Linked DNA regions of Canis lupus familiaris. The protein of the gene in region 1 interacts with the protein of each later gene in a biochemical or structural test. Links are inferred from orthologs where the notes say so. Each region holds a gene or a part of one and is shown in the gene's direction. Other genes may lie near its edges.

Region 1 (11,441 bases):
TTCCTCCTTTTCCTGTTCATCGTTGTCTTCGCCCTTTTGGGAATGCAACTCTTCGGCGGCCAGTAAGTGCTCAGCAGATTCCCCAGACTTCTGCTTCCCTGGGGTCAGGTGCCCTCAGACCCAGGCCTGATCCATCCAGAGACCCAGGCTCACCTCCGTCTCGCAGACTGCCCTCCTCACGAACCCCCCAGATGCCCAGGGCACTCACCCAGATGCTCAGGGCCCTGGGTACAGTCAGGGTGTCCTTCTAGGGAAGAGATAGGAAATAGAGATGATGGAGATATTGCCCTGGAAAGATTCTAGGGAATAGAGATGATGGAGATGTTGCCCTGGAGACAGGATGCTGAGCCAAACCCTCAGAGCACCCTGGGCAGGGCCAGTGTGACATGCCTGTGTCCTCCCCACAGGTTTAACTTTGATGAAGGGACTCCTCCTACCAACTTCGACACTTTTCCAGCAGCAATAATGACGGTGTTTCAGGTATGGTCTTCACCCGGCCCCAGAGGTGGACACCTCTTAGCATCCAAGATAAAAGCACCCGCTCAGTGTATGGGGGACGCCTCTTAGCATCTTAGATAAAAAAGCACCCGCTCAGTGTATGGGGGTAGGGGGGCCCTGGTGAGGGGACCAGGGTGAGGCCACCTCCAGGACGCTGGGAAGTGGGCTTAGCTGGCCTGGCCTGACTGCCCCTCCCCCTGGGGGGCTTCCTTGAATCCCTCTTTCTCTACTTTACCTTACCCTCCTGTTTTAAAATATAGGTTTTATCATTATTCAGATTTGGTGAGGCCAACAGATCAGTAGATAACTGCCATTGGGAGCTGTTATAAGATAGTTTATTGTACTTGCAGATTCCAAGAGAGGGAGTACAGGGCTCACCACACAGGGCCATACGAGGGAAGCAGCTGGGTGGGTCAGGAGGCAGAGGGAGGGGGGACGTGAGCACAAGCCTTTAACTGTGGTTTCTGCAGAAAGGATTGGAGAGGAAGGGTAAACAGATTTAGAATTGGCTCGTTTGAATGATTTCAGTGAGCTCTGGGCATAGGGGCCGTCTCAGGTTGGCTGGTCCCTGCCCTGGAGTCACTGGGGCAGGGGGTTGTTGGCTCTGAGTGTAAGAGCCCAGCCCAGATAGAGGAAGTGGTTTGGGAGTGTGGGCTCTGTATTGGTTGATTTGCATTTGACAAGCGTGCTTACTCCCCAGCAAGTTGTGTTTACTCTGTAGGAAGTAGGTAGCCCTGACTCCCTCTTGGGTCAGCAAGGATCTCCCCACCACCACCACCAAATGTCAAAGCATCAGAATCCAGGAAATAAAAGACATGATTCCTACACGCACCCTCCCCAGGTTGGCAGGCACCCCGATCCCACATTCTAAAGCAAATAGACCCTGGGTGGTCTTCCTAAACCAGCCCTTGCACCTATGTGGACATATGCCCTGAGGTTTGGGACTGACCTAGCTGTGACCACCAGAGCCTTTCTCGTGGGTTCTGTCTCTTTGGGGTGAGGGGAACAAGAGAGTGTATGGAAAATGTGACTTCACTCCCTCCCCCTCCTGGGAGGGTAATTTCTCAATGAGACCCCTAGACCAGGGTTGGAAAGGGAAACCATCCATGAAGTTTCAGCCCCCACATACATGATTGCCAAGAGTTGTAATCACCAGCCATGTATCTTCATCACAGGGGGTTTTGTCCAAGAGGGATTCTATCCCCCAAGGACGATTGGAAGTTCTAAAAACATTACTGGTGGCCACAGCTCTGGGGGAGGCGTGCTATAGGCATCTGGTGGGTGGGGGCCAGGGCTGCTGCTCAACCCCCCACAGTGCACAGGACGGCCCCACCAGAGAGAATGACCTGGCCCCAAATGTCAGCAGTGTTGAGGCTGAGAAACCTGCATTAACAGATTGACATTTTTTGGAGTTATTTCACATTTACTTTATCCTTGTGAAAATATTACAAAGGAGGGAAGCTGGATTTTTTTTTCAGTGAGCACGCCTGTCCCCTCAGTCCATCCCATAAGCATCAGGGCAACTTGCATTTGCCAGCACCTGCATCCCTGTGCCTGACAGGCTCTCCGATCACTAGCTCCCACCCTGCCTCCAGGCACAGCCGTCCAGAAGGACTAGTGATTATGTGGCTTAAGCAGCAGAGCTCTGGAGGGCCCACAGGGCTGGTTCCTGGGAAGGACTCTCTTCCTGGTTTACAGATGGCCACCTCCTCACATGGCACAGAGAGAGACAGACAGACCCAAGTTCTCTGCTGTCTTTTCTTAGAAAGAAAAGCACTGATCCCATCTTGAGAGACCCACCAACGCGTGACCTCATCTAACCCATCCCCAAACACTGTCACATGGGGGTTCAGAGCTTCAATGAATTTAGGGGGCACAGCTTCATGTATAGCAAATCCCCTTATCACATCAGGGAAGACAGAGTTACAGAAAGATTTGTGACTCCCCCAGGGTCACCTTTTCCTAGAAGCCAGGCTGAGAATCCCTCTGTGCAGGGATGTCCCTTCCCACTCACAAACGGGCAAGACCCCCCCACCCGCCGCCCCAGAGACCAGGGCCCAGAAGAGCCACTGCGGGCAGGTTCCAGCTCTACAGCTGCGTCTCCACGGGGCCCGTGGCTGAGAGGGGTTGGCTGTGTGTTTCTCCGTCCCCTTTCAGATCCTGACGGGTGAAGACTGGAACGAGGTCATGTATGACGGTATCAAGTCTCAGGGGGGCGTGCAGGGCGGCATGGTGTTCTCCATCTACTTCATCGTGCTGACCCTCTTCGGGAACTGTATCCTCCGTGGGGAGGGTGGGGGGGCAGGCCTGGGTGGCCGGTGGAGCAGACTGGGGAGGGGGCGGGGGGCACAAGGGAGGATCCAGGAAGCCCCGGGAGCCAGGGTCCGAGTGGCTGTGCTTTCCCTGACTCCAGCGCCTGCAGACACCCTCCTGAACGTGTTCTTAGCCATCGCGGTGGATAATTTGGCCAACGCCCAGGAGCTCACCAAGGTGGGGTTGGTGGGAGAATGTTTCTCCCTGCGGCAAAGTTACCACCTGCCGGTGGCAGATCAGGACCAGGCTGGGTGTGGAGGGTGGGGGCAAGGTCTGGATGCCCCGGGCCCAGGAGGAGGCAGCTCCTCCCCCCGAAACAGACTGTCCCTGACCACAGCGGATTCCACGGCCGAGGAGGTGGGAGGGGGTGAGGCAGCGGGGCTGCCACACGAAACAGATGCCAGACTCCACTGGAGTGCCCATCTATAGGGAGTGGACAGCATCAAGGGACCTCCAAGGAGTGGTACAGCCCCCAGGCTAGCAGGCATTGTCACCATCCTAGAGCTGAAAGGATGGAGACAGATGGAGATTAACCCGTGCAGGGTCTCGAGGCTCAAGGCGCGGCCCCATCAGCTTGGGAGCTGGCCGGACTTCACCTCCAAGGGGCAGCAGTAGAGAATGAGATGATGCTCATGGGTGACAGGCCTTGCTGCCATCTCCCTTTTGCAGAAGGGGAAATTGAGGCTCAGAAAGGCAAAGTCACTGGTCCCAGATGGTATGATAATAGCAGCTACTATTTATAGCCTCTCCCGGTGCACCTTAGGCACTCAACACGGTTTTTGCTATACAGTAAGTGCTCAATAAAGGGAGCCTAGGGCTAGTTACTAGGTACAACTTGGCCCTAGGGCTTTCATTGGACAGAGCTGGTAAAAGGAAGGGAACCCAGGCCTGGCAAACTCCAGAACCCGAGTTCTTTACCCACTCACCCTGCGCCCTGCTGGTTTTCACTAGAGCCCCAGCTGAGCAGGAAAAGATACAAAGTAACAACCACAGCAGAAGAGACAGCACTTACTGTTCTCTCCCATTTCACAGGTGGGAAAGCTGAGGTCCAGAGAGGTTAAGTGACCTTGCCACATAGCTAGGGGCTAAAAGGGCAGAGATGTGAGCCCCTCAAAAGAGCAAAAGTGAGAGAAGAGCAGAGGAAGTCAGGAGAGAATTTGGGAGAGGGGGCTGAGAACCATCCATGGGAGGAGAAGTTATCACTCGTGTCAGTGATGTTGAATTACCCAGGCAAAATTTACAGTCAGATGCCCCTTAGAGCAGCCTTGGACTCCCTGGGACTCGGGTCGGGCTCAGCCAGGCACAGAGGAGGTAGCATTGCTTTTAGTAACACGGCTCACCCGCCCTGGGATAGCCCATAAGCAGGGCCGCTGAGAATGGTCATGCTGGTTGTGCACTGCGCAAAGGAAGCCGGGCACCTTTTTTGCAATTTGACAGGGGGGTATTGGAAAACCGCCCCATTGCATTAAGAGAACATGTGCAGAGTCTTCCTGTCGGCCCAGGAGGGCCACGCCTAGGGCATCCCTCTGCTTCTCGGCCCCATCTCCAGAGCCTCAAGGTGTCGAACTGAACTGAGCGGACGCTGCCAAACCTTCCATCTGCTGGCCCTGGCAGGAGGGAGAGAGAGTTTCCCGGGGCCCCACTCCGACTGGGGAGAAATGGAAGTCTCTGCTACCCCAAACACACGGCCCCAGGCCTGGTCACTGTGGAGCAGGCTGGCTCCAGGGGCTGATCCAACTGTGTGCTCATCCAAGATCCAGGAGCCCATCCTCAGAGGCTGTCACAGGGCAGAGGGTGCACCAGGAGGGGTGGGAGTAGCGGAGGGAGAGAGGCAGGATCATCTGCGAAGGATGGACATCCTCCTGCAGACCCAGATTATTTCCTTCATTTATTCTACAAGTATTTCTTAGGCATTTCATATGAGGCAGGGACCCTGCTAAACCCCTGGTGTGTTTTCATCTCCTTCAATCTTCACAGAAAGCAAGGAAGTAAGTTCTCTGAGCCCCACTTCACAGATTGTGTCATTCATCCAAAAAGCATTTATTGAGCACCTACTGTGAGCAGGACCTGGTCTAGGAGCCAAGTACAGGGCAGTGAGCAAAATAGGCAGAAATCTCTGCCCTCGTAAGGCTGACATTCGAACGAGAAAGATGACAAATTTGTCAGATGGGGAGAAGTGCTGGAGAGAAGAGCGAGAGAGAAAAAGTTGGGGAGAGTGAAAATTTTAGGTGAAGACGGTGAGGCCCTGAGACGTGGAGCGACTCACCTGACGTCAACGGTAAGCGGAGGAGCTGGGATTTAAAGCCAGGGGGATCCAGAACCTGTCCTCTTAGCCACGTGCACTGCTGCTCAAACTTGACCTGCTCTTGATAGTCTCCGGGGAGCTTATTGAAGATGCAAGCTCCAGGGCCCAGCCCAGGCTCTCCCACAGGCCTGGGAGTCTGTATTTGCAGGGCAGGTGAGGCAGGTGGTCCAGGGACTGGGCTCCGAGAAATGCAGGGTGAGGTGTCAGGAGGAAGGGAGGCCTTGTGAGAAGGGGTGGCAGGCCGGATCCCACCTCTGTGTTGTCACTGGCAGCGTGTCCTGATCTGACCATTTCCGAGGTGGTAAGGTTGCTGCTTGCCCCAGAGTTCCCCGCTCAGGGGGAGAGGTGCCCTGCCGTAGCATGGCTTTTCTTATTGGTGGGTTCATCTCTGGCCATTTCTTTCTCGTTGCTTTTTCTTTGCTTTTTCTTTGTTGGCTTTTCTGTTTTACGAATGAGGCCCTGCATGAAGGCTGAAGAAGGATTTAAAGCCCCAAAACATCTTTTTCTGTATGTATTTTTAAAACATCTTCCCCCACCCTCCTCCTCTCTGAACCTAACCGGCTGAGAATATAAGCTCCTCTCCCAATTCCCCTTCTGGAGGCTGTTGGCAGTGCACGGGATGGGCCATGGGATGCCAGTTTTTTCTGCATGTGGGGGCTAGTCAGGGTGTTTTTTTAAAAGGCCTGGTTCAGAGACCTTAACCCAGAAAGTAAAGTGAGAGGAAAATCTGCATTACTTTCCGGCTCACGGAGACAGGATGCAGAGAACTCTCCATTGTGGGAAAGGAAGGGAGTCTGGTTTTTTTCTTTTAGTTTCCTTCCAGTTGTGTGCTAAAATAGAGTTAACAAGGAGCTGGATATGGAGGCTGCGCGTAAAGGGGCTAGTAATGCACTTGACCCACGGTGGGCACCTATTCCCATCTGCCGGCCTTGGCTATGGTTGCTTGACCCACCCAGGCCACACCTGCTTCTGAGTGTTTCACATGTTGCCCCTCATTACTGTAGGGTCAGAGGTGAGGCCCCAAGGCCGAGTTCACGTTTTGTGAACAGGGACTCCATGTGTCTTTTAGGATGAGCAAGAAGAAGAAGAAGCAGCCAACCAGAAACTTGCTCTACAGAAAGCCAAGGAGGTAGCAGAAGTGAGTCCTCTGTCGGCGGCCAACATGTCCATAGCTGTGTAAGTGCCCCCAACTCCAGAATGCTATCCAGGCTCCTCAGCCTATACCCCCTCCTGGTCAACGATTCGGGGGCCAGGAGCAGTCCCTGACAGGGTTGAGGTACGTCTGTTCTCCCACCCCCTTTTACTTGATAAATAGTTAATAAGCACCTCCTATGTGTCAAGTATTGTTCTAGCTGCTGCAGAGACAGCATTAACAAGAGGTTAAGGGGTACAGGGAGAGCTAGGGCTTGGGAGAGTTGGGCTTTTAAATAAAGTTGTCAGGGAAGGCCTCACTGAGGTGATAAGACCTGAAGGAGGTGAAGGAGGAGCCAAGGGGGGATCTGAGGGAAGAGCATACCAGGCAGCAGGAACAGCATATGCAAAGGCCCTGAGGCTGGGATGTGCCTGTTGTATTTAGGGAACTGGAAGGAGGCCACTGTGACTGAAATAGAGGGAGGGAGGGAGGGAGGAAAGTGGGAGGAAGTAAAGACAGGTGACAAACATCGTTCAGGGCCTTGTGGGTCACGGGTGGGACTCAGACCTTTGCTCTGAGTCAAGTGGAAGCTATGGAAGGTTCTTGAGCACAGGTAGGACAAGACCTGACTTGGGTGCTCATGGGGGCTCTCTGGCAGCTGTCAGGGGAACAGACTGCAGGGAGCATGGGTGGAAGTCTGCGGACTAGGCTCCTGGAAGAAAAAACTTCTTTGGTCCATGCAGAAGGGATAATGGGACTGGAGTAGGGTGGTGGCCCTGGTGGTGGATGTAGCTGAATTCTAGACAGATCAGGAAGGTAGAGTGGACAGAGTCTGCTGGTGAAGCAGAGGCACTGAGGCGCTGAGTGAGATTAAGGTTAATGTGAGATCCATTGACACTGATACTCCGAATTGTGCCTGTGTCAGGTGTCCTGAGGATTTTGTACACTGTGGGGCAGTGCATCATGTGACGGTGGGGAAGGGGCTTTCTTTGCCAAAGTGGAAGGAGGTGGCTGTGAAAGGGGAGCCCGGGAAAACACATAATCAGACCAGTGACTTTAGCACAGTCTGTGGAAGACGATGGTCTGTATAAAACAATCAATGCACACAGAAACCCTGGAAAAGTCTGTATACTCCGGGCTGGGCTCCAACCTGGCCAGCTCTCCAGCAGCGGCCCTGTGGGTAAATAGGCACCAGTGGGTAAAGAGGTGCTGCCCCATGACTCCCAAGTGCCCACCCTGGCTCTCTTTGGGACCACCCAGACCTCTCGTACCCCAGAATTAAAGGGTCATGCAGGCCCCGTGGGTGATTCCAAAACTCGCTCCAGGCCAGTGTCCATGAGGATCGGCTGTCTCAGAGGTTAAAATATTTTGAACATCAGGGCAACACCTCCCAGGGGGTCATGTGCGACCATTGGTCATGTGCAACGGGAATGCCCACGAGGGCTGAGGACAGCCCCCCCCCCCCCATTAGACAAAATATGCAGTCAGAATGAGACACCTACCCAGGTCTAAGGCACTTGCTAGGCCAAGATGTCCAGCCAGGTTGAATTTTCTGCACAGGCTGAGACCAGGTTGGGAGGAGATACCCAGCCAGGCCAAGATACCCTCGTGGGCCGCGATGCCCAGTGAGCCAAGACCACCTGGGTGGAGACGCCCAGTGGGCAGAGACTCCCTGCAGGCGGAGGGGCCTGCGCAGGCCTGGCCCCGCGGTGCTCTAAGCCCTGCGCCCTTCCCTTGCAGGAAGGAGCAACAGAAGAACCAGAAGCCCACCAAGTCGGTGTGGGAGCAGCGCACGAGCGAGATGCGGAAGCAGAACCTGCTGGCCAGCCGGGAGGCCCTGTACAACGAGATGGACCCCGACGAGCGCTGGAAGGCCTCCTACGCCCGGCACCTGCGGCCGGACATGAAGACCCACCTGGACCGGCCTCTGGTGGTCGATCCCCAGGAGAACCGCAACAACAACACCAACAAGAGCCGGGCGGCCGAGCCCACGGTGGACCAGCGCCTCGGCCAGCAGCGCGCCGAGGACTTCCTCAGGAAACAGGCCCGCTACCACGACCGGGCCCGGGACCCCAGTGGCTCGGTGGGCCTGGACCCCCGCAGGCCCTGGGCGGGCAGCCAGGAGGCCGAGCTGAGCCGGGAGGGGCCGTACGGCCGCGAGTCGGACCACCACGCCCGGGAAGGCGGCGGGGAGCAGCCGGGCTTCTGGGAGGGCGAGGCGGAGCGGGCCAAGGCCGCGGACGCCCACCGCAGGCACGCGCACCGGCCGGCCGGCAGCCGGGAGAGCCGCAGCAGCTCGCCGCGCACGGGCGCCGACGGGGAGCCGCGCCGGCACCGGGCCCACCGCAGGCCGGCCGAGGAGGGCGCGGACGACAAGGCCGAGCGGAGGGCCCGGCACCGCGAGGGCAGCCGGCCGGCGCGGGGCGGCGAGGGCGACGGCGACGGGCCCGACGGCGGCGGCGGCGAGCGCAGGAGGCGGCACCGGCACGGGCCCCCGGCCTCGTACGAGGCGGACGCGCGGAGGGAGGACAGGGAGCGGCGGCACCGGAGGAGGAAGTAAGTGCGGGCGACCCCGGGCAGGGTGGGGACCGCAGCGGCTGCGATGCCGGGAGCCACGGTGGCGCCTCTGGGGCCTCTCGCGTCTCTCTGCCGCCCCCGCGCGGTAGATCCCGCTGTCGGGGGGAACCGCGCCGCGGAGCCGCGGGCCCCGGGTCAGCCGAGTCGGGCCGCCGGAGGCTGCAGGCGCACCATTTCGCCCTTGTGCGTCCGGGGGAAAATCTACGGGGAATCCACACCCGCCCACCCCCACCCCCCCCCAAGAATTCTTCAGCTCTTCCATGCACTTGCTGTGTGACCTTGGGCAAGGGACTTCACATCTCTGGGCCTCGGGTTTGTCGATCTGTAAAATGGAGATAGCGGGATCAAACTGGGTCATTGCTGGAGCTCCAACAGACAATTCATGCCGAAGGCCGGAAGAAGAGCGGCTGACACATAAGGGCTTGGTACATGTAGACCATTTTTAGCTGTTAATGAGTCAGCCATCTTTTTACCTGATGCTATTCCTGAGGGATTTAAAAAGCCACACTGGGCCCTCAGAATTGAAAGGAGAGCGGGGTTGAGGCCACTTCCAGGCCAGCACCGTATGCAGTAGGAAACAGCCTCCTTGTTTTCTTGGTATTTTGTGACAATCCTTCGATGGTTCTGTAGTGACTCTACATGTAGGAGCCCAACCATGTTGAAGCACACATTGGTCTTGTATTCGCTGATGTCCTGTTAGTCTTCTTTATATCACCACGAGGGCATCATATTGATTTCTTAATGATGTGTTTAAGAGCCTGTTATATGACCTAGGCGCTAGGCCAGCACTTACCAAAATTGAATGTGTATGTGAGTCCCTGGGGATCTTCTTAAAATATGGATTCAGTGGGTCTCAGGTACAGCCTGAGATTCTGCATTTCTAAGGAGCTTCCAGGTGAGACATGATGCTGGTCCAGGAACCACACTTTGAGTAGGGAGGCTCTGGAGGGCAGAGTGAAGTGACTCAGGGCCCAGTGTGCAGAATCACCATGAATGTGACAGCTACACATGCTGGCCGGCTCCCAGTGGTACAGGCAGTTAGGGTGACACAAGGGAGTTGCCACTAGTGTTGAGATTTTCCTAAGTGGATAATACCTCTTGGCAAAGTTCCATATGAAACAGAGTCTAGGCTTCCTTCAATATGGCCAGTAGTTGCATTCCGGGAAAACGGGGTGTGTATTTAAAACATACAAGGGGCACCTGGGTGGCTCAGTCGGTTGAGTGTACACCTCTTGGTTTCAGCTCTGGTCATGATCTTGGGGTTGTCAGATCTAGCTCCACATCAGGCTCTACACTCAACGCAGAGTCTACTGGAGATTCTCTTTCTCCCTCCCCCTCTGCCCCTTCCCGTACTTGCACATATGTGTTCTCTGAATAAATTAATTAAAATCTTAAAAAAAAAAAAACATGCAAGGGGAGCACCTGGGTGGCTCAGTCAGTTAAATGTTTGACTTCGGCTCAGGTCATGATCTCGGGGTCCTAGAATCAAGCCCCACATTGGAATCCCCACTCATTAGGGTGTCTGCTTCTCCCTCTCTCTCTGCCCCTCCTCCTGCTTGTGCTTCTCTCTCTCTCTCTCTCAAATGACTAAATAAAAATCTTAAATACAAGACATATGTTATGCTGATATATAGAACAGAGGTTAAAAACCAAAGACACAGGTCATTACAAGCAATTTTTCATCTGTGTAAGGGACATTAGTCACGAAGGAGAAAGGTTAATTCTTCCCCAGGTGGCCCTGCCCTGCACATGGTACGATGTTTTGTTTGCCTGCCTCCCATTTCCTAAATGCCCACAGTGGCCTCCAGGTGCTATGTCATTAGGTCTGCATGTGACTGCACAACAGCCTCCTGAAAACCATCACTCCAGATCATCCCCATGCTATCTCTTCTCTTAGGGGTTTATTCATCCATCCCATCAGTGTTTACTAAGTACTTACTACGGTCCTAGCTGGTGCGGTGGATTCAATCATTAACTGCAGGTGACAGGCATGCTAGGAGTGGTCTGGGGCTCTTGGAGAAATAAGACCAAGAAATTGTGCCCGGGCCGGGCTCCCAAAAGGAGCAATCTGAAAAGGGAGTCGAGTGTTCTAGGCTAAGAATAGCATGTGCAAAGGCCCTGAGGTAGACCAGAAGGAGGCCGGTGTGCAGTTTGGAAGGTGAGGAGAGAGTGGCAGAAAAAGAAATGGAAGGGACAGTGATGGGTCAGCAGGACCTCGAATCCTCTCAGGGCAAGGAGAGGCCACAGAAAGGATTTTTAGGTGGAATACAGCATTTAGAACATGACTGGATAATTAAGGACCAGTGATTCATTGATGCTGTTCTTCTCACTACTGCTAATATTAATATTATTGTCATCCTTGTTGTTATATTACTCCTGTGATTAAAGGAGGCCGAGTGATGGGGACGGAATGCAGCACAGCCTGCTGGTAAAGGGCAAGAACCCTGGAGCGAGAGATCACACTCATGCCCATCACTTCCCACCTGTGGGATTTGTAGCATCTCCCTTCCACTCTGTGGGCCTCTGTTGCTCATCTGTAGAGTGGGTATGAGAGCAGTACCTACCGCCTAGGTTCAAGTGAGTTAATACACATAAACTGCTTTGAATCGTGCCTGG
Region 2 (12,126 bases), on another chromosome or scaffold:
CCACATTCACCTCCTTCCCCACTGCCCCCAGTGGCCCTGGCTGATGCGGACTTCCCCTCCATCTCCATCTGGGCCTTTTGGTCACTTCCAAGCCCTTTGGACTTGTGAGGTCAGTTGACATCCTTCTGCTATTGCACGTCCATTAGTGGGTCTTCTTGGCAATTGGAAGGAACGGCAATCTGGAATTGGGCGATTACAGCCGTTGTCCAACTAGTCAACATAACGAGAAGGGCGAGGTTGGTTAAGCTTCTAAATGAAATAAGTTATGTAAAACAGTTATAATAGAACCCATTAGTTTGGATTCCACTAATGAGACGATTCAGACAAAGCTGGCACTTGGTTTTTACAAGAAATAGCCTATAGAAAAGTAGTATAAACACAATTGGAGGAGCTATTGTTTAAATAGGTACTTCTAGGTACTCAAAGGAACCTTAAAATTTCCTATCAAGAACTAAAATGCACGGAAACCCTGTCATTAAAGCGGAAGCTCAAAGAAATCCACGGACCAAAACTTTGATAATCTACACCTACTGTGCGGAGTTAGGAAACGTGCCTTTTGGAAAGCGGCCTGCGGTTCACTTTCCATGATCTCAGCCATTTCTTTACTTGCATCCATCGTTCCAAATTAGTGAAATTTTAGCATGTGGTGGTAAAATATTGTAGAATGTTGTTTTATTTAAGCAACTAAAATGTTTGACTTAAATGTTTGCATCTGATTTTGTAGAGGACATTTTTTTTTAAAGATTTTATTTATTTATTCATGAGAGACACACAGAGAGATAGACACAGGCAGAGGGAGAAGCAGGCTCCCTGTAGGGACCCCGACGTGGGGCTCGATCCCGGGACCCCGAGGTCACGACCTGGGCCGAAGGCGGATGGCCAACTGCTAAGCCCCCCCGGCGTCCCCTGTAGAGGAAATTTTTAAAAAAGGTTCTGCCCACACTCCTGCCCGCTGTGCTCTGCGTCATGCCCTGTGATCGTGGCTGGAGCAAGGTTCTTGCTGCCTGTCTTGAGCTCAGATGCCTCATCTGTAAAATGGAGATAATCATAACCTACTTCACGGGGTTGATGGGATAATCTAAAACCTGTATGTGGACCACTCACATTGGTACCGGGCAGGCCAGGTCTGAGGACCCAGAGAGGGGGGTCCCACAGGACTAGCCAGAAGGGTCCCTGGCTTCGTGTAGGATGGAAAAACAACGTGAGCCGGGAGGAAGTGAAGGCAGAGTTTGTTGAAGGTACATGTAGAGAGAGAAATGCAGACAGAGCCTCCGGGAGACTCGGAAAGAAACGGAGCACGAGTCTCCTCTTTGCTTGCAGTCTGGGTTTTGATGGGCAGTTGAGGCCTGGTGCACATGTCCTCTGAGGCGTCCAGGAGCTGGCCAGAGCAAGGACGGGGCCAGGTGTCCTTCGTAAGTCATTCATTCCCTGGAGCTGGAGTCTTGGCATCAAGGTTTTTGGAGTCAGTGGTCTCGAAGAACGTTTATGATGACCCTGCCTGGTCGCTCCTTCGACGTTACCTGTTGCCCCAGAAGACTCCTAAGATCAATACCTGTTCGTCCCTTGCGAGGAGGCGGTGCTGCTTGCATCGCAAGCAGGTGTAGAGCGAGACAGGGTGCAGGCCCCAGCAAGAACAGAGGCTGGAAGAGGAGCGAAGGGGATAAAAAGGCAAGGGGTCCCTTCAGTTCCATAAAAAAGTAGGGGTTGAGGAAGCATTTATTCTCCTCCCTTTATGGCCTTTTCTGAGCACACTGCTCTGCTGCCCTTGGCTGCTGTTCGAAGCCCCCAGGTGAAGCCTAGATTAATGGCCAGGGTTGACCTCCTGGTCTTCTGTCCAGCGCCCAGCCTCCTAATTACAAGAAACGGCGCAAGGCACCTTAAGGCAAAGTTAAACGTCGTCTCTAAGGTTCGGTTTCAAAAGTTCCCTGCTCAGCCACAGTGCCAGGAATGCACCATCGCACCCAGTAAGCATGAACCCTGGGCAGCTAACCAACCTTCCTGGAACTTAAAATCATGGAGCAAAAAAAAAAAAAAAAAAAAAAAAAAAAGATGTTGACGGGAGCAGGCATGTCTTTCTCTGAAGAAAGCTGAGCTGGCGCTGGGCACCCGTGTCCTCGGAGACAGCGGCTCCCTGCCAGGCTGGGTGGCCGAGCAAAGAGCTCCAGGTATGTCCGGGGACGAGGGCAAAGGAGAAGAAGGTACCTGCAGGAAGGCAGGGCCGGATCGTAGATATTAAGGGTGCCGAGGGGCCTTTGTGCTTAGGGCAACCTTGTGGGTGGTTGCTATTTCCCCATCTGCTGGGGAAATCTGGGGAAATAACCAAGAAAGGCAGAGCAGAAAGGTGCATGGCCCAAGTCATGGCAAGCTCGGTGGGGACACCGAGCCTCAATCTGTTGGGAGCGATACGTTTCTCCGGGCGCTTGATCATCACTTAGTCCAGGTTAGTGCAGCTACTTAAACTCCGCGTTTTCACCAAGGCGGACTTTCACTTGTCTGATCCGGCAGTGAAACCGACGCTTGGAACGTCGGCTCCGGTGCAAGCGTCGGCTCCGGTGCAGCTCGCTGCGGTGGCCCCTCGGCGGGGGGGGGGGGGGGGGGGGGGGGGGGGGGTGGTTGTCTGACTCCGCATTATTATTATTTAAAGTATCATTTTCTGTAATAATAAAATGAATTATTTTATTTATCGTAAAAAGTGAAGGAAAATGAAATTTTAAGCATTTAAAAGTCAAACGAGAAAGGCAGTTCCTCGTGGCCCTCGTCGCTTGGAGGGCTCCATCCCCGGGGGCCGGCGGCGCCGAGCTGGGGGTGCTCCGGGCCCTCGGGTGCACTCGTGCACCGTCTTGCACTCTGGCGTCTTGTTAGTTCAACAGAACGACCCAGAAGGGTTTCACTGCCGTTCTGCGGGGAAAGATCTCAGCAGGTGAGGCGTGTTCCCTCCGCAGCGGCCGCGGGGCCCGCACGTGGCAATAGGTGACCACCCGGCTGAGCCACCCGGCTGAGCCGCCCCGTCTGGCCTGATGCTGGAAGCTCCGGCAGTGGCCGTGAACACATTTTAGTGTCACACGCTCGTCAAGTCTCCCTCCCCTTTACTCTTCCATGACATGACCCTAAAATACGCGCAAAGCACAGTAATAAAACACAAACAGTAGAGTAGAATAATGAGATACAAATACTAAAATCCTTCATAAGAAGGGAAAATGTATTCCAGTGTGGAAAGGACAAGATCCACGAGTGGGCGGGTGCCTGGGTCTCACGGCGCGGGTAGGGGGGGTCCGGGAGGGGCTGCAGGGGGCTCAGGACTCTTCGAAGGTGGCGGAAGGGCTCTTGTATTGGATTGTGGTATAGATCATGTTCTGGAAGCTTATTAAAAATCATTGAGTTAGGGAACGCCTGGGGGGCTCAGCGGTTGAGCACCTGCCTTCGGCCCAGGGCGTGATCCTGGGGTCCCGGGATCGAGTCCCGCATCGGGCTCCCTGCAGGGAGCCTGCTTCTCCCTCTGCCTGTGTCTCTGCCTCTCTCTGTGTCTCTCATGAATAAATAAATAAAATCTTAAAATCATTGAATTGTACATTTTAAATGTATGAATATAAATCATGCCTCAGTAACACTGTTTTTTTTTTTTTTTAAATAATAAATGAACAAAAGAACAAGCTGTAGATCCTGAAACCCCGGGGCAGCCAAAGCTGTACTGCCAACAAGGTGCAGAGCTTGAGTGAGTCGAAGATTAGTTGCTGGCGTTGCCTGCATCTCCCTAATGGTGGCAGAAGGAGGGGCGTTCCCTCTCCACCCAAGCACGGGAGGCGCGCCAGGGTGTGTATCATCATCCCCGTCCGCGGGGGAGGACGTGGACGCTCAGAACGTTGAATCCGTTGCCCAAGATGTGCGGCCGGTAGGACCCGGCAAGGGCGTCAAGTGCAGCCCGTGGGTGCCTCCTCCCCGGCGCCGGGCCCCCTCTCTGGGAATGGGGGGCCCTTCCGTTATTTGACTTGAGGCCACTTTCCTTCCTCCACAACAACAGTAAACTGATGCTCCAGTGTTTCTATCAGTGTTTTGTCTTTGGTGCTCGAGATTCGTGAAAAGGCTTAAATCTGTTTTCAATATTGAAAAAAAGGCAGAGAAAGAGTCTTGAGCCTTATGTTAATGGAAAGATAGGCATTTCTTTCTTTCTTTCTTTCTTTCTTTCTTTCTTTCTTTCTTTCTTTCTTTCTTTCTTCTTTCTTTCTTTCTTTCTTTCTTTCTTTCTTTCTTTCTTTCTTTCTTTCTTCTTTCTTTCTTTTTTTCAAGATTTATTTTAGAGAATGAGCAGGGGAGAAGGGCAACGGCGGGGGCGGGGGTGGAGAGGACCCTCAAGCAGACTCCCTGGTGAGCACAGAGCCGGTGCAGGGCGGGCGCTCAGGACCCCAGGCCGTGACCTGAGCCGACACCCGGACGCAGCCACCCGGGAGCCCGTTTCTTGGGCGTTCGCTACTATGCGTTATGTTACGGCCTCTAAATGGTGTCCATGCATGTCCATGGGCGTGCGCATGTGCACGTGTCCACCTACAGCAGCATCTTGAAGGAGAGACCTGCTTCCGTTCGCTCCTGGGGTCGTTGGCTCGTTGGCGCCCCAAGCTCTGGTTTGTCCCGGGTCTGCGTGGGAACCCCTGGGCTGGCTTCTCTGTGCCTTTCGCGCAGGCTCGGCTCCCCCGGTGGGCCGGCTAGCCCACGCTTTGCCAACTTTTATGAAGGGGAATTCTGGAAAACGGAAAGCTAACGGGGCCGCGTCTTCCAGCTTTGCCCCTGCCAGTGACCTTTACGTGTGCACCTACGTCCTCGTGGTGTCCTCAGTGTCGCCGTCTTGCCAGTTCCCTGCGCCTGATCAGGAATGTGTAACCAGCTCCCGCCACAGCCCTTGGTTGTACCGAGCCCGCGGCAGCCCCTCCCCTTCCAGAGCCTTCCTTGGTCTGGCCCCGGCGGTCGTCTCCTCCACCGCTCTGTGGCTCTTGTGGTCCTTCTCTCTGAGCCTTGGTACATAACCCAGGGGCTTCCTGTTTTCTTCTCCATCTTTCTCCTGGGCTATATCTGGCCCCTCTTTCACGCAGTTGAAACAAAACCAAACAAATAAATAAAAACAAGAAACCACTGCTGTGCCAAGCCAGCGGAACTCGTCCACGGGCCGAATTTGGGCTCTTGATGGTGAACCTCTGTTTTCCCTAGGACCCTGAGGCTCAGCAGCGGTGACTTCCCTATTCAAAGAAAGGTAGATGGCATTGAAAAAAGAAGGAGGAGGGGGGGGAGGAGAAGAGGGAGGAGGAGGATGGGGAGAGGGAGGAAGGGGAGGGGGAGGGGGATGGGAGGGGGGAGGAGGAGGGAGACAAGGAGAGGAGGAGGAGGGGGAGGAGGAGGAGGGGAGAAGGAGGAGGGGGAGCAGGAGGAGAAGGGGAAAGGGGATGGGAGGAGGGAGAGGGGGACAGGGGGGAGGAGGGGGAGGAGGCGGAGGGGGAGGAGGGAGAGGAGGAGGAGGTGGAGGAGGAGGGGGGAGGGGGAGAAGGAAGAGGGGGAGGAGGGAGAGGAGGAGGAGGCGGAGGAGGAGGGGGGAGGGGGATGGGAGGGGGGAGGAGGAGAGGGAGGAGGGGGAGGGGGACAGGGGGAGGAGGAGGAGGAGGCGGAGGAGGATGGGGAGGAGGAGGAGGCAGAGGAGAAGGAGGAGGGGGAGAAGGAAGAGGGGGAGAAGGGGGAGGAGGGGGAGAAGGAGGAGGGGGAGGGGGACAGGGGAGAGGAGGAGCAGGAGGGGAGGAGGACGAGGAGGGGGAGGAGGAGGAGGGGGGAAGGGGAGGAGGAAGGGGAAAAGGACGGGGAGGAGGAGAAGGGAGGAGTAGAAGGAGGAGGAGGAGGAGAGGAAGGAGGGAGAGAAGGACTTGGAGGAGAAAGGGAAGGAGGAGGAGGCAGAGAAGGAGGAGGAGGAAGAGGGGGAAGAAGAGGAGGAGGGGGAAGAGGATGGGGAGAGGAGGAGGAGGGGGAGGAGGAGGAGAGGGAGGGGGAGGAGGAGGGGGAGGAGAAGAAGGAGGAAGAGGAGGAAGGGGAAAAGGAGGAGAGGGAGAAGGAGGAGGGGGAGGAGGGGGGTAGGAGGAGGGGGAGGAGGAGGAGGAGAGGGAGGAGAAAAACCAGAGTAAATGTGGAAATGATGTAACGCCGTGATTATGAAAACGAATATCGAACGTCCTGGTGCTTTAGCTTTCCCTCTACCAATATTCTTAGAAACAGGGAAGTAAACAGAAGCTTCTGCTTTCACACATTTGGCAATAGTAGAGCTCATTACGTAATTTTGAAATTTTCACAGTCTTGTTCCCATTTCAAAATCGAGTTCATTTGCAGGAGCCCTTTGAGTCGCCTCCTGCGTGCCCAGAGGTGAGGGGATGCCGGGATGAGGAGTCGTCACGGTGGTTTGGGGGTGAGCCGTGCCCCGAGTCCCCGGCGGCCTGTGGCGGTCGCCCGCTCGCGGCTCCAGCAGGCAGCCTGCCCGCTCCTGGGCTGCGGCCACCGGCCTCCCCAGCACACGGTCTCAGCACGCGGCAGGTGCCTCCTTCCTGACTCCGCGCAGCACGATCCCGAGGCGGCCCAGGCATCGTCACGCAGCCAGTCCAGGAGCTTAAAATGATGGACGGCACGTGCCACCCGTCAGCGGGGCGGCACCTCCAGCTAGCTCCGACCGGCTCTCATATGTAGCATTTTAGAGACACTGTTTTCTTTCTCTCTTACCCTGGATTTTTTGCAGGTCCGCCTAAATTTGGACAAAAGATGTGTTCCAAGAGAACCCATTTAAAGGACTTCAAGGTAGCTTTCTTTTTTTCTAGCAATGAGGGGTCTCCAGAATAGTCGGTCACCCTGTTCCGATCCATCTTGTACATCCAGATTTTCCCCAAGCACTTCTGCACAGAGGAATTTGGTTATGATTTGCTTGACAAATCCATTTACCCTATAAAGGGCACTTTCTTTTCTTTTCCTTTTTTTTAAAATTATTTTATTTATTCATGAGAGACACAGAGAGAGAAGCAGAGACACAGGCAGAGGGAGAAGCAGGCTCCATGCAGGGAGCCCAACACGAGACTCGATCCCAGGCCCCCAGGGTCACGCCCTGAGCTGAAGGCAGATGCTCACCCCCTGAGCCCCCCACGTGCCCCAAAAGCACTGCATCAAGGGCCTGGGTTTGGGCACATTGCAGTTACCACAGGTGTGATCATTTTGCAACTTATAAATGCATCGTCTGGGATCCCTGGGTGGCGCAGCGGTTTAGCACCTGCCTTTGGCCCAGGGCGCGATCCTGGAGACCCGGGATCGAATCCCACATCGGACTCCCGGTGCATGAGGCCTGCTTCTCCCTCTGCCTATGTCTCTGCCTCTGTCTCTCTCTCTCTCTGTGACTATCATAAGTAAATAAAAAAAAAAATTAAAAAAAAAATAAATGCATCGTCTCAGCAAATCATACACCTGGAACTTACATGATGTCCTACGCCAATTACATCACAGTAAAGCATTGGGGGGAAGCATTGGGGTTTTTTGGCAACAAATACGTCAAGAAAAATGGAGACTTTCCGAGATGGGCTATTGTGCACGTATATTATAAATGAGTTGAAAAAATGATTAGCATCTGTTGATTTCTTTTAACCCAGCGTAGGTGTGTCAGGACTAGGAGACGGGGAAGAGAATGGCCGTTTAGTCTGCGCTTGCCACGTGCCGCATCCTGGAGGAGGTGTTGGAGCATGAGAGCAGCTCGGTGGAGGGCTCTGCCCAGTCAGCCCATGGCTTCCGCACTGTTCCAGGGCTTCGGGGGCAAGGCGTCAAGGCAGCGAGCCGTGTGCTGGCCCCGGTGCGGGGGGGTTAGCTGCTCGTCACGTCTTACTCCGTTCGCGTCTTCCAAGTAAGCGGCGTCCGCTTGTGTGCAGGGAGCGGCGGAGCCTGGAGTGGCCAGGGCAGCCCGCGCGGTTTTCCAGAGTGAGTTGCAGAGGCAGGATCCAGAACCAGCCTCTGTCGGGCATTCTGATGAGACCTCTAAGCAGGGGTTGCTGTCCTCGGGCGCCGGGAAAATCTGCGCTAAGCCCGACATTTCCGAGCTTAGGAGAAGCTTGAAAGGATCCGTTTCGGCGGCCACCATGCCTAGGGCGCTTCGGTGTGTGCAGCGGGTAGCAGGTTCTCAGCTACATGGACATCTCCGCTTTCCAGAATCTGTGCGTGTTTCTGGAACCCGCCGGGTACAGCGGGTCTGTCGAGAGCTGTGCCGTGCGAGTGTCATCGTCTGCGCAGACACCAACCTGTAACGGCAGCGTAAGGACGGCAAGGGCGATGTTTCCTTAGCAACCGGGAGGCAAACCTAAAGGATTTTTTTTTTTTTGACTTTTTAAGTAGCTGCTGTAGTTTTCACGTCCTCTTGTGCCGTGAGCAGTGAGTGACGCTGGGCGGCCCCAGCACCTTGGCCACGTCCATGAGGCTGGACGCCGGGGTGGCTCAGGTAGCGTCTCGGGCTGTGTGCTGCCATCGAGGACAGCCTTGTGTTCATCCCGAAGGCTCACGCGTGGTGGCCGCGGGGACCGGGTGTGACTCCCGTGGGACGGTGACTGGAGCTTGCTGTGTTGGGGAGCTGGGAGGGACGGCGGGCGGGACACTCTAAGCAGCTCCACGCCCTGCACGGAGCTCACAACCCTGAGAATATGGCCCGAGTCGAGACCGCGAGTCGGACACGCCGCCTTCCGAGCCCCCCGGGGCCTGAGGTTGTCACAGTGGGTTCGACGGTGTGAACAGCGGCTCGGGGGACGCGATGACGGCCGCAGGGCTCCGCGTTGCGGCGTGGACATCTCGGGTAGAGCCGTCCTCTGTAGCCCAAGCTGTGGGCACAACCGGACGCGTCTCGTGGGCTGAGGGCCTTGTTCCCTCCCGCGTGCGTGAGCAGGAGACCGGGACTACGGCTGGGCGCGCGGGGGGCCCAGAACATCAAGACCTGGGCGCGGGGTCGGCGCCGTGTTCGCTGCCGCTCAGCTCCTGGCCCTTGACCAGTGGCCCGGCCACCTCCCGGGTCCCTGGGAGGCCTGGGGCGTCGGCGTGACCATGCGCCCGCGGCCGCGGTGAGCGTGTGCCCGGAGCCCGACGGCAGGGGCGAGCCGCGCGACGGGGAGGCCGCGGCCCTCGGTGTAAACGGCTCTGGGTGTTCCCTTGCAGGGCTCAGCGGATTCCTACACCAGCAGGCCGTCCGACTCCGATGTGTCTCTGGAAGAGGACCGGGAGGCGATTCGGCAGGAGAGGGAGCAGCAGGCCGCCATCCAGCTGGAGAGAGCCAAGGTGACTGTCCAGCCTCGCTAGCTCCGCAGCGCAGCGCCCGCAGGTGCTGCCCCGGCCCCGCCTGCACCTGCTGGCCAGGCTCGGGCCGAGCGGCTGGGCCCCCACCGAGGCCCGGGCCCCGCACCTGTGTCCCCCGGCACCGCTGCCCGCTGCACCCCCCCCCCCGTGGGTGCAGAGCTTGTCCGTGGGCAGCCACGGCCCCGAGGCCTCGCCTGTGCAGAGGGCACGGCCCCCGCATCTCTGTGCCCACGGGAGGCAACGGGGCAAGCTGCCGCTCTGGATCTGAGAGGAGTCACCCGGGATCCCCGTTCTGTGCCTTCCAAGCGGGTTTTTTTTTTGTTTTTGTTTTTAGCCTGGACTCCCTCTGTCTGATGTCATTTTGCATCAGATTTTATGCAAAACGAGACTGAGGCTGTGGCCCGCCGGTCTCCCTTGCCCCCGGTGACACGCGTCCAGGGCGCACTGATGCAGCCTGACCTCCGGAGGAAAAACGGAGGCTCAAATAATACGAATCCCTTCCTTTCTTCTGTTTTTACAGTAAAGGCTCTCTGAGAGCTGTGGGAGGAGGGCGACGCTGTCCGGGGCGTCTGCCGGGGCCCGTCTGTCCACTGGCTTGGCTGGAGGGGTGCGGGGCCGGCCGGGCAGGGGCCCGGGATCCCAGGAACCTGCGCCCTCCCTCGTGGCCACGGCTTGGGTCCGCTTCCTCGCAGGCCGTCTAGTGGCTTTTGCAGGGACCCGCAGCCGAGGGGCCGCGTCCGCCGGGAGCCTCTGCGGGGGGACTTGGCCTAGGAGGCATCAGAACCAGCTCCCGCTGGCTTGGAGGGGACGCCGGGCCTTCTGTCTACCCCTGACTGGCCTTCCTCTTTCCGGGCAGGACAAGGCGATCACTCCACTAAGGGGGATTCCACAGGGGTTTTCAGACCTGAGGCTACTTCAAAAAATTTTTTAAAAAATTGATTTTACTCCCACCTCCTTTTAATTTAAGGCCTAGCCCACATTTCCTGTGTCCCAAGGGGCATCTATCACCCTTTAAAGTGACAAAAATCAGTTTTAGGAGTGGAGGGCCAAGAAGAGAGCCTCCCCACCCCCCTGTCCTCCCATCGCCCCCCAGGATGTTAGGGCAGGTCCTCGGTGGGGGGCGCCTGGCGGGTAGCGCAGGACGGGGAAGGCGGTCGGGCTGATGGCGAGGAATCCCTTTTCGAGTCCTCGCGGGGGATTTGTCCAGGCTGCCAGGGACGTGGAGTGGCTCCCCTTCCTGCCCCGTCCTCACGCCCTGCTTCTGTCCCCAGTCCAAGCCCGTGGCATTCGCTGTGAAGACGAACGTGAGCTACTGCGGCGCGTTGGATGAGGATGTGCCCGTCCCGAGCACAGCCATTTCCTTTGATGCCAAGGACTTTCTCCACATTAAAGAGGTAAACGTAGGACTCTGTGCGTCCCCCGAGCTCCGGGAGGCGAGGGCCGGAGCCGGCTCTGAACCAAACACAGCCGAGCGGAGCCCGGGGCAGATGCCGCTGGGTCACCTCACTTAATTTCGGGGCTTTCCAGATCCATTCGTTGTCAGTGAGGTTTAGGGGACCGAGAACGTCGCTTGCATGGTCACATTGGATCATAGGAGGGGGTCGTCATAGGAGGGGGTTAGGACGGATCCGTGGTCCCCTGGTCACCTTTCAAGCCCCTGTGTGCCCGCACAGACCTAGGGACCCAACTTAGGGAAACCGGAATTGGTGGCCTGGCGCCCACCCCTGAGGGACCGTTCACAGGGGATATTGTAGCTATAGACGTCTGTGCCGTAACCCGCGGACCTTGACCGTGGAACCAACACGGAGCATAACCATCGAAGTGTTAAGTCAAGAAGAGGGCAGAGGACTTCGGGAACCAGGAAGCTTAAGGGAGTGAGCAGCACGGGGAGGACTTGAGGCCTTGCACCCCGAGAGGTGGGATCATGGCCTCAAAAACGTTCATTTAGAAATCCTACTTCATCTCGGACGTGGTGCCGGGCGCTGCGAGATCAGAGATGACGGCACACGGTTCCCACGGGTCTCGGGTGGAAGAGACTGGCAGGTGCCTGGTGTCTGCTCAGGGTGATAAATTCCATCATAGTAAAAAGGCAGGGGTATTGGGGGACCACCTGGCCTGGGGGAGGAGGATCAGGGGCCCGGGAGCTCTGGGAAGGGCTGGGCCTGGGGGGTTCAGGCTGGGCGGCCGCGGGGGCTGGAGGGCAGTGCGAGGGGGAGGGAGCCGCACAGGGGACGGGCCAGGGCGCGGAGGGTGGCCTGCGAACGAGCCTGGGCCTCATGAGCCGGCAGCGGGCTGGGGAGGGGTTTTACGCGTGGGCAGGTGCAGCCGGCCTTGTATTAGCATAGCAGGGGCCCAGGGGGCTGCCGAGGCGGGAGGGCAGTGAAGGGCGCCCGGACGCGGCCGGGAGATTGCACACGGGCAGCGAGGGCGGAGGCAGTGAAACAGGACGATGGAGAACGGCCAGCCGTGGAGCTCCCTCGGAGGGCAGAGGCCGTGCGGGTTTTCCAAATAAAGAAGGGAGGGTGTGCTCGGACGGACGGAGGGGGCGCGGGGGCAGAATAAGGAAGGTAGAGGGACGCCTTGTTGCAGGGAGCGTGTGCGCAGGACTTAGGCTTTAGGAGCCACGTGTCCGGGGCATGAGAGCCTCGTGAAGCCCCGATGGGCCTCTACCCGCATAATCTGGGGGCCAGAGGACAGGAAGAGCGGTTTGCTCTCCCTAAAAGCTTTGAGTTGAAAAGGAGAGTGCATCGTAGCCAGAAAAAAAAAAAAAAAGGTCAGTTATAGAATCGAGGGAGTGTC

What was found.
Region 2: the proteins of CACNA1A (region 1) and voltage-dependent L-type calcium channel subunit beta-4 form a complex in vitro, tested with the Homo sapiens proteins (2 studies listed by BioGRID). The link is inferred for Canis lupus familiaris from reciprocal best matches to the Homo sapiens genes CACNA1A and CACNB4.

The regions. Positions count from the first base shown.
Region 1 is NC_049241.1:49,352,409-49,363,849, forward strand, and holds part of CACNA1A (voltage-dependent P/Q-type calcium channel subunit alpha-1A), read left to right. Parts: coding exon 1-62; intron 63-407; coding exon 408-480; intron 481-2,655; coding exon 2,656-2,773; intron 2,774-2,920; coding exon 2,921-2,988; intron 2,989-6,185; coding exon 6,186-6,292; intron 6,293-7,988; coding exon 7,989-8,804; intron 8,805-11,441.
Region 2 is NC_049240.1:54,794,009-54,806,134, reverse strand, and holds the start of voltage-dependent L-type calcium channel subunit beta-4, read left to right. Parts: upstream 1-6,353; 5' UTR 6,354-6,813; intron 6,814-7,649; 5' UTR 7,650-8,178; coding exon 8,179-8,301; intron 8,302-9,189; coding exon 9,190-9,309; intron 9,310-10,598; coding exon 10,599-10,721; intron 10,722-12,126. UniProt on the Homo sapiens protein: The beta subunit of voltage-dependent calcium channels contributes to the function of the calcium channel by increasing peak calcium current, shifting the voltage dependencies of activation and inactivation, modulating G protein inhibition and controlling the alpha-1 subunit membrane targeting.